Linked DNA regions of Nothobranchius furzeri. The main gene of each other region encodes a partner of the protein of the gene in region 2 in a complex. Links are inferred from orthologs where the notes say so. Each region holds a gene or a part of one and is shown on either strand. Other genes may lie near its edges. The genes, in order: eif3f and eif3d.

Region 1 (4,585 bases), on a different chromosome or scaffold from region 2:
CATAAAGAAGTACCTTTCTCAGCGGCCTAGAGGTAGAGTGTCCGCCCTGAGACTGGGAGATCAGGGTTTGATTCCTGGCCGGGTCATACCAAAGACTTAGAAAAAATGGGACCCAATGCCTCCCTGCTTGACACTCAGCATTAAGGGGTTGGATTGGGGGGTTGAACCACCAAATAGTTCCCGAGCGCGGCTGTGTCTGCAGTTCACTGCTCCCCCAGGGGATGGGTCAAATGCGGAGAACAAATTTCGCACACACACCTGTGTGTGTGACAACTAATGGGACTTTAACTTTAAGAACACCTGTCCCTCTCCAGCTCAGCTGTGTGACTGCACTAACCTGTCCTGTGGGACCCTCACCATGTAACCCTCATGTCCATGCCGTCTCTGGAGGAGCAGATCATACAAGATCTCCCGTAACTTAAAATGAACCAAAGCCTCCTCCCAGTTTCTCTTTAAGCTGAATTTAACATCAGTTTATCATCATTAAACAAAAGAATAAAGTGGAACAATAACTTCTATCTTCTATTTCTCTCTCCTTTTAACTTCTCCGTGTCCCTAAATAAAAGAGACAGATGATCACGCTGCAGCCGCCGTCACTCACCCCGCTCCCTCCCCAAGGCCAGATCTCTCGACATCACAACACTGACTGAGCGCTTCGAAGAGAAATAATAATGAAATTATGAAAATAATAATGCGTGTTTGGAGGAGTGTCCTCCGACCCCCTCATCTCAGTCGCCGATTGAGCGAGCAGAGTGCGCCGTGCGACAACCCGCTCAATTAACATAATTCACGGCCCAAATCCAACAGAACCAATTGGGCTGATTCGGTTCGGTCTCAGGTTACAACTCCAGCACTCAGCCCTGCAGTACCACATAAAGGCGGACCAAAGTTTCCTACCCGGTAAATGTGGAGAACACCCACTTTGACAGATTTGGATGCTGGTGCCGCCGTTAAAATAACAAAACCACATTCCACTATAATTGATTAAGGTACTCTTCTATGACGCAGAAATAGTTTATGCCCGCATCTCATGCATTGATTATGAGTATTTTCCTCAGCTCTATCTATGCTACACCTCCCGGTCGGCCATCGCGGGTGGGGGTTTGGGGGCCACAAAGAGAGGGCTCGCCGGCCGGACGTGGCCCGCGGGCCGCCATTTGCGGACCACTGATCTACACACATGGTGATATTACCTCCTTATCTGGATCACCTACGTATGTAAACATCCCACCAGTTAACTAAATATATTCTAATGTTACTTTTATATCAGATACACTAGCCCACATCAAAACAATAAAATATGCAGTAACATTTATGCATATTTATTACTAGATGGCTGTATATCACTTTATACCAAAATGGGCAACATTTATTCTGAAGAATTTTTCCCACAACCTTGAATGTGTGTAAATTGACAGAAAATACTTTAATGTTTTTATGCATTCATTGAGAAGATAAGGTGTTTTTCACCGTTCTTAAAACAGTTGAAATAAAGATTATTCTCAAAACTAAAAACTTATGTACACTTGACATTTCATGGGAATAATGCAAATACTCATACAGATAAAGATCATTCTTTCAGCATTTCCAGAAGTTTGAAAAACACCTTGTGTCACTTAGTTATTACAGTAATTTCTACTAAAACCTAACATTTAAACTAGGTAATTTGTTTATGTTTATGTATTTAGCAGACACTTTTGTCCAAAGCGACTTACAAGTTATAATCGGCATGTTGCCCTTGAGGCTAACAACAACAAACAATTTTCAGTCAGTCGTAGGTGGCAGTGAGGCTGCATGATGAATCACGGAGAGGAGGGAACACGGAGTGGACAGGAGAGAGGAGGACGGGTGCAGGGAAGGTGCTAGTTTAGAAGATGCTCTCTGAAGAGCAGGGTCTTCAGGAGTTTCTTGAAAGTTGAAAAAGAAGCCCGTTCTTGTAGTGCTTGGTAGGCGAGTGTGCTCTTTTTGGCTGATTGAAGACCAGATGTGCCGTTGCGTTCTAGACCATTTGAAGAGGTCTCACAGTACAGACTGGAAGACCAGTTAGAAGGGCATTGCAGTAATCGAGGTGGGAGATGACAGTAGATTGCACCAGGAGCTGGGTGGCATGTTGTGTTAGGTATGGTCTGATCTTTCTTATGTTATACAGCGCCAAGCGGCATGAACGAGCAACAGAGGTAACATGATCTTTAAAGGTCAGGTGTTCATCAATCTCAACACCCAGATTTCGAACTGCCTTTGAAGGAGCCAGAGATAGGAAGTCATTTTGGATTGAGATATTGTGCTGTATGGATGGTTTTGCTGGGATGACAAGTAGTTCAGTTTTAGAGAGGTTCAGTTGGAGATGGTGGGATTACATTATTATGCACTGCTACTACTTGCCCACTTAATCAGCTTCAAGTAAAAATATAAATCTTTAACCATTTTAATTTTGGCTGTCAAGTTATTTTACCGAATATGAGCTGTAAACGATAAACAATGAATGTGGTAGTATCAACAATCCATTATTTGGCTCAACTCCTGTAACACACTTCCGTTTTTCTGTTACAATCCCAGTGATCGATGCAAACTGCCAGCTAGCAGCAGAAATACAGGGTCCCAATGCAGCCTGTGACAATCAAGACTAGAATACAATGAATTCGTGCTTTTTGTAGCTCACCTCATCTTCGGACTCGTTGTGAGGGACAGAGAAGCAGTTGGTCACCTCAATAGAGTGCTTGTCAATAGTACCTAGAACACACCAGATAGAAATGAGTGTCTCGTTGGGTTTCCTGGTGAATCAGCATTTACGTTCAGCTCCAGCGGTTACCAGATGCGGTTTGATTCAACACTGAACCGAGCCAACGTGCGCTAGCAGATTAGCTGAGGAGTTAGCTATAGCATTTTAGCTAGGAAAATTAAGTCTCCTCCCCCGGCTGGACAGATATTTCAGGTTTCTGCTTACCCAAGAGAGTTCCGATCACTCGACTTGCCCCCTCATTCCGACGCTCGTAAGAGTCAGAGATAGAAGCAAGAACGACGGGATGAATTTTCACCACTGGCCCGAACACCGACATCTTGGAGAAAGAGGACGTACCACCGTCCACAGCGACAACATACACCGCCACCTAGAGGCGGGCGGGCAAACTGCAGCTATTGAATCCTACGCTAATAAACAACTCGTCAACAGTGACGACCCAACAGGTAAACACCTGTTTCTGAAAGCAAATAGAACATACTCTTTTTGATTTTTCATGGTTTAGGGCGTAACTTGTATAGTTTTGCAACAATAAACGCACACAAAACAACAAATGCAACTGTTTATTTAATTAAAGCTAAATGTCACACATTTATGATTAAATGCAAAAACTGCAGTTGCTGTGGGGTCAGCAGGTGGGTGGAGGAAGACCGTCCCCCTTCTGTTGTAGAGATGAGATGAGCCTGAGCGAGGAAGGGTTACAGGGGCTGGACTGATGATGACAGCGTCCTCCGCCGCTCAGAGGCTGCACACCTGCCGACTCCATGAGACGCACAGATGAGATGATGGAGCTTTTCGCGCTGCCGGCTCATCCTGTTGCCACCATTTCGCACATCCTGGCACATGTTTTACAGACGCCTCTGCGCAGTCGTTGAAGTTAAAATGTGTGTTTTCTCACCGGATGACGTTTTTATTTACTGCGATTATTGAGCGATCGTTTTCGAGGCGCTTTCTTCCCCTTCTCCGGGTCGGTTTCCCGGACCGGCTCGCTGGTAGCTATAAAGAGCAGAAATGGGAGTCACCGAATCAAGGTTGCCAGCACCGGTTCGTTCATGGACCAGATGGTTGTTCATAGGATAAAACATCAGCTCGATCAATGCCAGAAGTTTCCACACTGAGCGGGTAGGTTTTTATTCATTCTCTGCTGGTTTTGGCACGAATCCGCTCTCTGGATCGTTTGGTTTCTGTTGCATTGTGGCTGACTCATTGACACTGTCAAGAGGCTATTTCTGATCCATCCATCAGGGGTGATGCGTCATCTTGATCTATCTCTCCTCCTGCATGGACGCACAACATCTAGGTCTGTGGAGGACCTGGACTCCATTTTACTGTGCAAATGATTCAGGAACACCATGCCTCACTGCATGTTTAACTCTGAGTCCTCTATGGGACTTATGTAAGAAATCTCAGCAGGCTCACAGAATAAATCCAACACATTTAACATCAAGTGCATGCTCACACACACACACACACACACACACACACACACACACACACACACACACACACACACACACACACACACACACACACACACACACACACACACACACACACACACACACACACACACAGAGCCCAAAGCTTTTTGTGAAACTAGCATAATTAAAGTGGCTCTAATGTGCAGCTGCTCTCCAGGATTAGGTTGCCTCTCAAAGGAGAGATTTATTCTGTCCTTGTGTTTCATAAAAACACACATTAACTAACAATAAATGAACAACATAATAATTTCTCTTACGCTGTATAATAAATCAAGTTTGTGCTGTGTGTTATTGCAGAAAAGACAATTTTAGTCAACAATTCCATAAACCCTAAAGGCGTGGGAAACTCATTTAAGCAACTGGTAGG
Region 2 (4,568 bases):
ACACGGGCACAATCATAATTTTTTAAAATTATGCCAATATTTATGCTAATTAAAAATATATGATTTACATGAAAGTCAATGGCACAAAAAATGCTTCAATGTGCTTAACTGTACAAAATGATTTCCACGTTTTAATAAAGTAGATTGAATATTTTTTCAAACTTTTTTGTAATTCCTTCCAAAATACACATCCTCCATAAAAATTAGATAAATTGCATTAACATAGCCAAAGTTATTCACAAAAATACACGTGTCAGCACAAAAAAATGCTCTAATGTGAGGTAAGGGATATATATATATATATATATATATATATATATATATATATATATATGAGGATGGAAAAATTATTGAGATGGGCACATGACGTGTCAAGGGGTCTTTACATAACACCCCCCACCCCAAATCCGCACAAGCCTGCTGTGTCCCCCCCACTTCTGAAATCAAAATTTCGTCCCTGCACGGGGGGACCTGGTGAATGACCTGCAGAGAGCTGGGACCACAGTAACAAAGGTCACCATCAGTAACACACTACAACGGCAGGGAATCGAATCCTGCAGTGCCAGCCGTGTTCCGCTGCTGAAGCCAGTGCATGTTCAGGCCCGTCTGAAGTTTGCCAGAGAGCACATGGATGATACAGCAGAGGATTGGGAGAATGTCATGTGGTCAGATGAAACCAAAGTAGAACTTTTTGGTATAAACTCAACTCGTCGTGTTTGGAGGAAGAAGAATACTGAGTTGCATCCCAAGAACACCATACCTACTGTGAAGCATGGGGGTGGGAACATCATGCTTTGGGGCTGTTTTTCTGCTAAGGGGACAGGACGACTGATCCGTGTTAAGAACAAAATGAATGGGGCCATGGTAGCAGCTTCAGTGACAGACTGATCCATCCTCGCAGTGTGAAGGAGAGATGCTGCAGGTCTTTCCTTCCGGCCACTGTTAGACTCTATAATGGTCATTGCTAACATGGAACCCATACATCTGTAACATTCCACTACAAATATCATCACCAACATGTGCAATATTGCTATTACTGTTGTTATTATGTGCAATAATTACCTTGGCTATCTTAATTTACAAATATGCTCTTGTATATAGATGTGCTACTGCTGCTATCCTCCTTAAACTGTTGCAATAATGCAGTTTCCCCACTCAGGGACTGAAAAAGGTATTTTTGTTCTTATTGTTCTTGAAAGAAATTGCTAGAAAACATCTGATTTTTGGTCATGTCTGCACTTTGGTGCACAACTGGAAAGGCTGTGTGTGTGTGTGTGTGTGTGTGTGTGTGTGTGTGTGTGTGTGTGTGTGTGTGTGTGTGTGTGTGTGTGTGTGTGTGTGTGTGTGTCTGCATACCTCTCCGAAAGTACGTAGTTGCACCCTAGTAGACCTCACTTCTAGCCTAGTGAACCGCAAACATATATATCAGTGAAACCGACCAAACACGTCTTTGCAAGTTATAGAGACAAAATGTACAAACGGTTTTGATAAACATGACTAAATTTGTGTTCGGTAGTTTTAAAGGGCAATAAAGCAGAAATTGATGTGATAAACCATAGATATGTGTATAAACCATAGACATAGACACATCATGAGGATATGTCTGCGATATTAACGCTTGAAATTACGACAGTTGCGCTAGAAATACGGCAGAAGCCTCTTTCCGCTCTTTTTACGGTGCGTCACTTCCTCTCACGCCGGCATTCCGTCGGGTTTTACATCGGTGTAAAACCATCTGGGTGTAAAGACTCGATAAAGAGTCACATTATTCTCGGTAAGTTTCCACCAAAGTTTGCTCAGATGAGAGAGGAGTATCAGCGCTTGTTGGCGCTGGGAAACATCTCTCAGAGAAAAATGACAGTTTGCAAAAAGCCGGCTAGTTAGCTTAGCTTAGCTTTGTTAGCGGGCCCACCCGACAGGATGAGCCGCCCTAGCTAAGGCCGTCATCAGATAAAATATTTACAAAGAACACCCGTAACTTTGACATTAAATTAAGTGGAAGAGATTTTATTTCTCACTACTGAACACGGATTCATGCACGTTTGGAGTAAAACGCATTTGGCTGCAACGCATAAACAATAGTTAAATCTGTACAATACTATTCAGCCCAAGACCTGAAGAACACCGTTTAAGAAATAAAGATTTAAAGCAGTTTACTTTTTTTACTTTATCACATCAATTTATGCTTTATTGCCCCTTTTTAATACTGATAATAATTAAGTGTAAATGAATAACTAGGTCTCCGACCACCTGGAAATACAATTGGGCGTTTAACTCAAACCATAAGGACTACATTGCCATCCTCCTTTCCACTTCGGGTTTTCTATTCTAAATCCGTGGACTGGTGTCCTGTGGTTCCACATTTTTGGTTTGGCTTTCCTTGGTTGTTCATTTTCATTGTTTTTATGACCTATGTGACTGTCTCTGCCTGTGTTGGTGCAGCGCTGTGGTCGGTTATAATGCTGCGTTAAAAGCGCTCTAAAACTAAAGTGGTATGGTAAATATATTAGAAATGTGTCTGTTACGCCTGTCTCAGAATAATTCAACCAGTAAAAATAAATTAACATGACTGACTGGGTTTATTTTATAGACGAATGCTTGTTTGCATGGTCACTAGGTGGTATTTTAGAGTCTCTATAAGTGAAGCCAACAGTTGGCTGTTCTTGGACCATTTCAGAAATCAGCAGACAGTGTTTTAAACCAGTGATGTCAGCTTTTCCTTTTTATGGCTTTCTCTATTTTCTGTAAAATGTTTACCAGTTGAACGATCTGTGTTAATGACTGGGTTGGTGATGATTAGCCCACTGCGCAATCTGATCAGTGCCCATGTGTTTGAGAGCACTGCTGGAGAGATCAGAGCTGCTGTTGCTGAGACCCGTTGACGCTCCGCTGTGCTTTAACCAGAATCAAAACGCAGCATCGCTGAAGTCCGGTCTGTGTTCTGCTTCGATCTCAGGTCATGGCAAAGTTTCACGCCCCCGTGATCCAGGACAACCCGTCTGGATGGGGTCCGTGTGCAGTCCCGGAGAAGTTCAAAGATATGCCCTACCAGCCTTTCAGCAAAGGAGACAGACTGGGAAAGGTCTGCCCTCACCGGAGCTCCTCTAGCAGAACCAGAACCAGAAGCAGGTTGTGTTTGATTCTTACTGTGTTTGGTCTGACAGGTTGCTGACTGGACTGGAGCTACTTACCAAGACAAGAGATACACGAGTGAGTGAGATGGTTTAAATTCTTTATCTACGTATATGTTTTAATGTTAAACATTTGAATTATTTTTGTCTTTTTTGCTTTTCAGATAAATATTCCTCTCAGTTTGGAGGTGGGAGTCAGTATGCCTACTTCCATGAGGAAGATGAGACCAGCTTCCAGCTTGTGGACACTGCTAAGACCCAGAAGACGGCGTACCAGAGGAACCGCATGCGGTTTGCTCAGGTAGAGCATATTGTTGCAAAACAGTTTAGTCCTGATGAGACTATTGAGCTTCATGTAGGTCAGCAACAGACGTGGCTTTGTTTCCACAGAGGAACCTTCGCAGGGACAAGGACCGTAGGAACTTGACTCAGTTCAACATGCAGACACTTCCTAAGAGTGCCAAGCAGAAGGAGAGGTGAGATCATTACTCTGAGCTCCACTGGAAAGATCCAAGCTGAACAATGAGCTTTACCTCACTCTTTCGCCTTTTCAGAGATCGTTTGCGTCTGCAGAAGAAGTTCCAGAAGCAGTTTGGTGTCCGTCAGAAGTGGGATCAAAAATCTCAGGTGTCGATTATTTAATTTCTATTGTTTCCCTTTTAGAGCAGCAGAAATCAAATCATATTCACCAATAAAAAAACACATTCTTGGTTTATTTTTAAAGGTGCGGTTCATTGTTTAGTCGGTGCATCTGCAGTGGTCTCTAGTAGGAAGGGATACCTTGTAAGTCGTACTCTGTGGGTGCATCGGGCAGAGTGATATTTGTCCTTAGGAAAACCGATTTAAAGTCGGGCACATCCTTGGGCAGCCAGGTGCTGTAGCAGAATTTAATTTAAATGTATTTTTATGTTCATTGTTAAATACTCTAAATAAACTTTATTTATGTGTCTAATTTTAACGGAGTGCACAACGTTAAAATTTAGAAGTTGGTTCAAAAACCGATTCAACTTCAGAAATTTAGTGCATTAACTGATGTTGTTAGTGACATTTTAGCATGACCAAGAAGTGGAAAAACATCTGGATTTGGCCGTAAAAGTCACATCGGCTATCTCCTACGTGTCGGCGTCGACTTTAGCTGTGTGCGTCGGCAATAGAGAAACCAGTAGAGGTTGACCTCTATTTTCTGCTTCAGTCTGAGGATTCATGATCACAGATGAATGATTCTGAAGTATTTGGGTCTGTTTGAAGCCGTTGTGATGGTCTTTGGTGAATTTGTGTGTTTGTGCTGCTTCTCAGGCCCAGCTGAAGCCCAGAGACTCCTCTGTGGAGGTGAGGAGTGACTGGGAGGTGAAGGAGGAGATGGACTTCCCCAGACTGATGAAGATGCGATACATGGAGGTTTCTGACCCTGTTGACATGTAGGTGAAGCTTGTCTGG

The links.
Region 1: eif3d (region 2) and eif3f share a complex: the UniProt entries of both Homo sapiens proteins name them as parts of the eukaryotic translation initiation factor 3 (eIF-3) complex. The link is inferred for Nothobranchius furzeri from reciprocal best matches to the Homo sapiens genes EIF3D and EIF3F.

Annotation. Positions count from the first base shown.
Region 1 is NC_091751.1:40,239,771-40,244,355, reverse strand, and holds the start of eif3f (eukaryotic translation initiation factor 3 subunit F), read right to left. Parts: upstream 3,103-4,585; 5' UTR 3,057-3,102; coding exon 2,945-3,056; intron 2,731-2,944; coding exon 2,660-2,730; intron 1-2,659. UniProt on the Homo sapiens protein: Component of the eukaryotic translation initiation factor 3 (eIF-3) complex, which is required for several steps in the initiation of protein synthesis.
Region 2 is NC_091745.1:29,238,759-29,243,326, forward strand, and holds the start of eif3d (eukaryotic translation initiation factor 3 subunit D), read left to right. Parts: upstream 1-1,631; 5' UTR 1,632-1,774; intron 1,775-2,956; 5' UTR 2,957-2,959; coding exon 2,960-3,082; intron 3,083-3,164; coding exon 3,165-3,210; intron 3,211-3,295; coding exon 3,296-3,432; intron 3,433-3,521; coding exon 3,522-3,607; intron 3,608-3,685; coding exon 3,686-3,758; intron 3,759-4,427; coding exon 4,428-4,549; intron 4,550-4,568. UniProt on the Homo sapiens protein: mRNA cap-binding component of the eukaryotic translation initiation factor 3 (eIF-3) complex, a complex required for several steps in the initiation of protein synthesis of a specialized repertoire of mRNAs.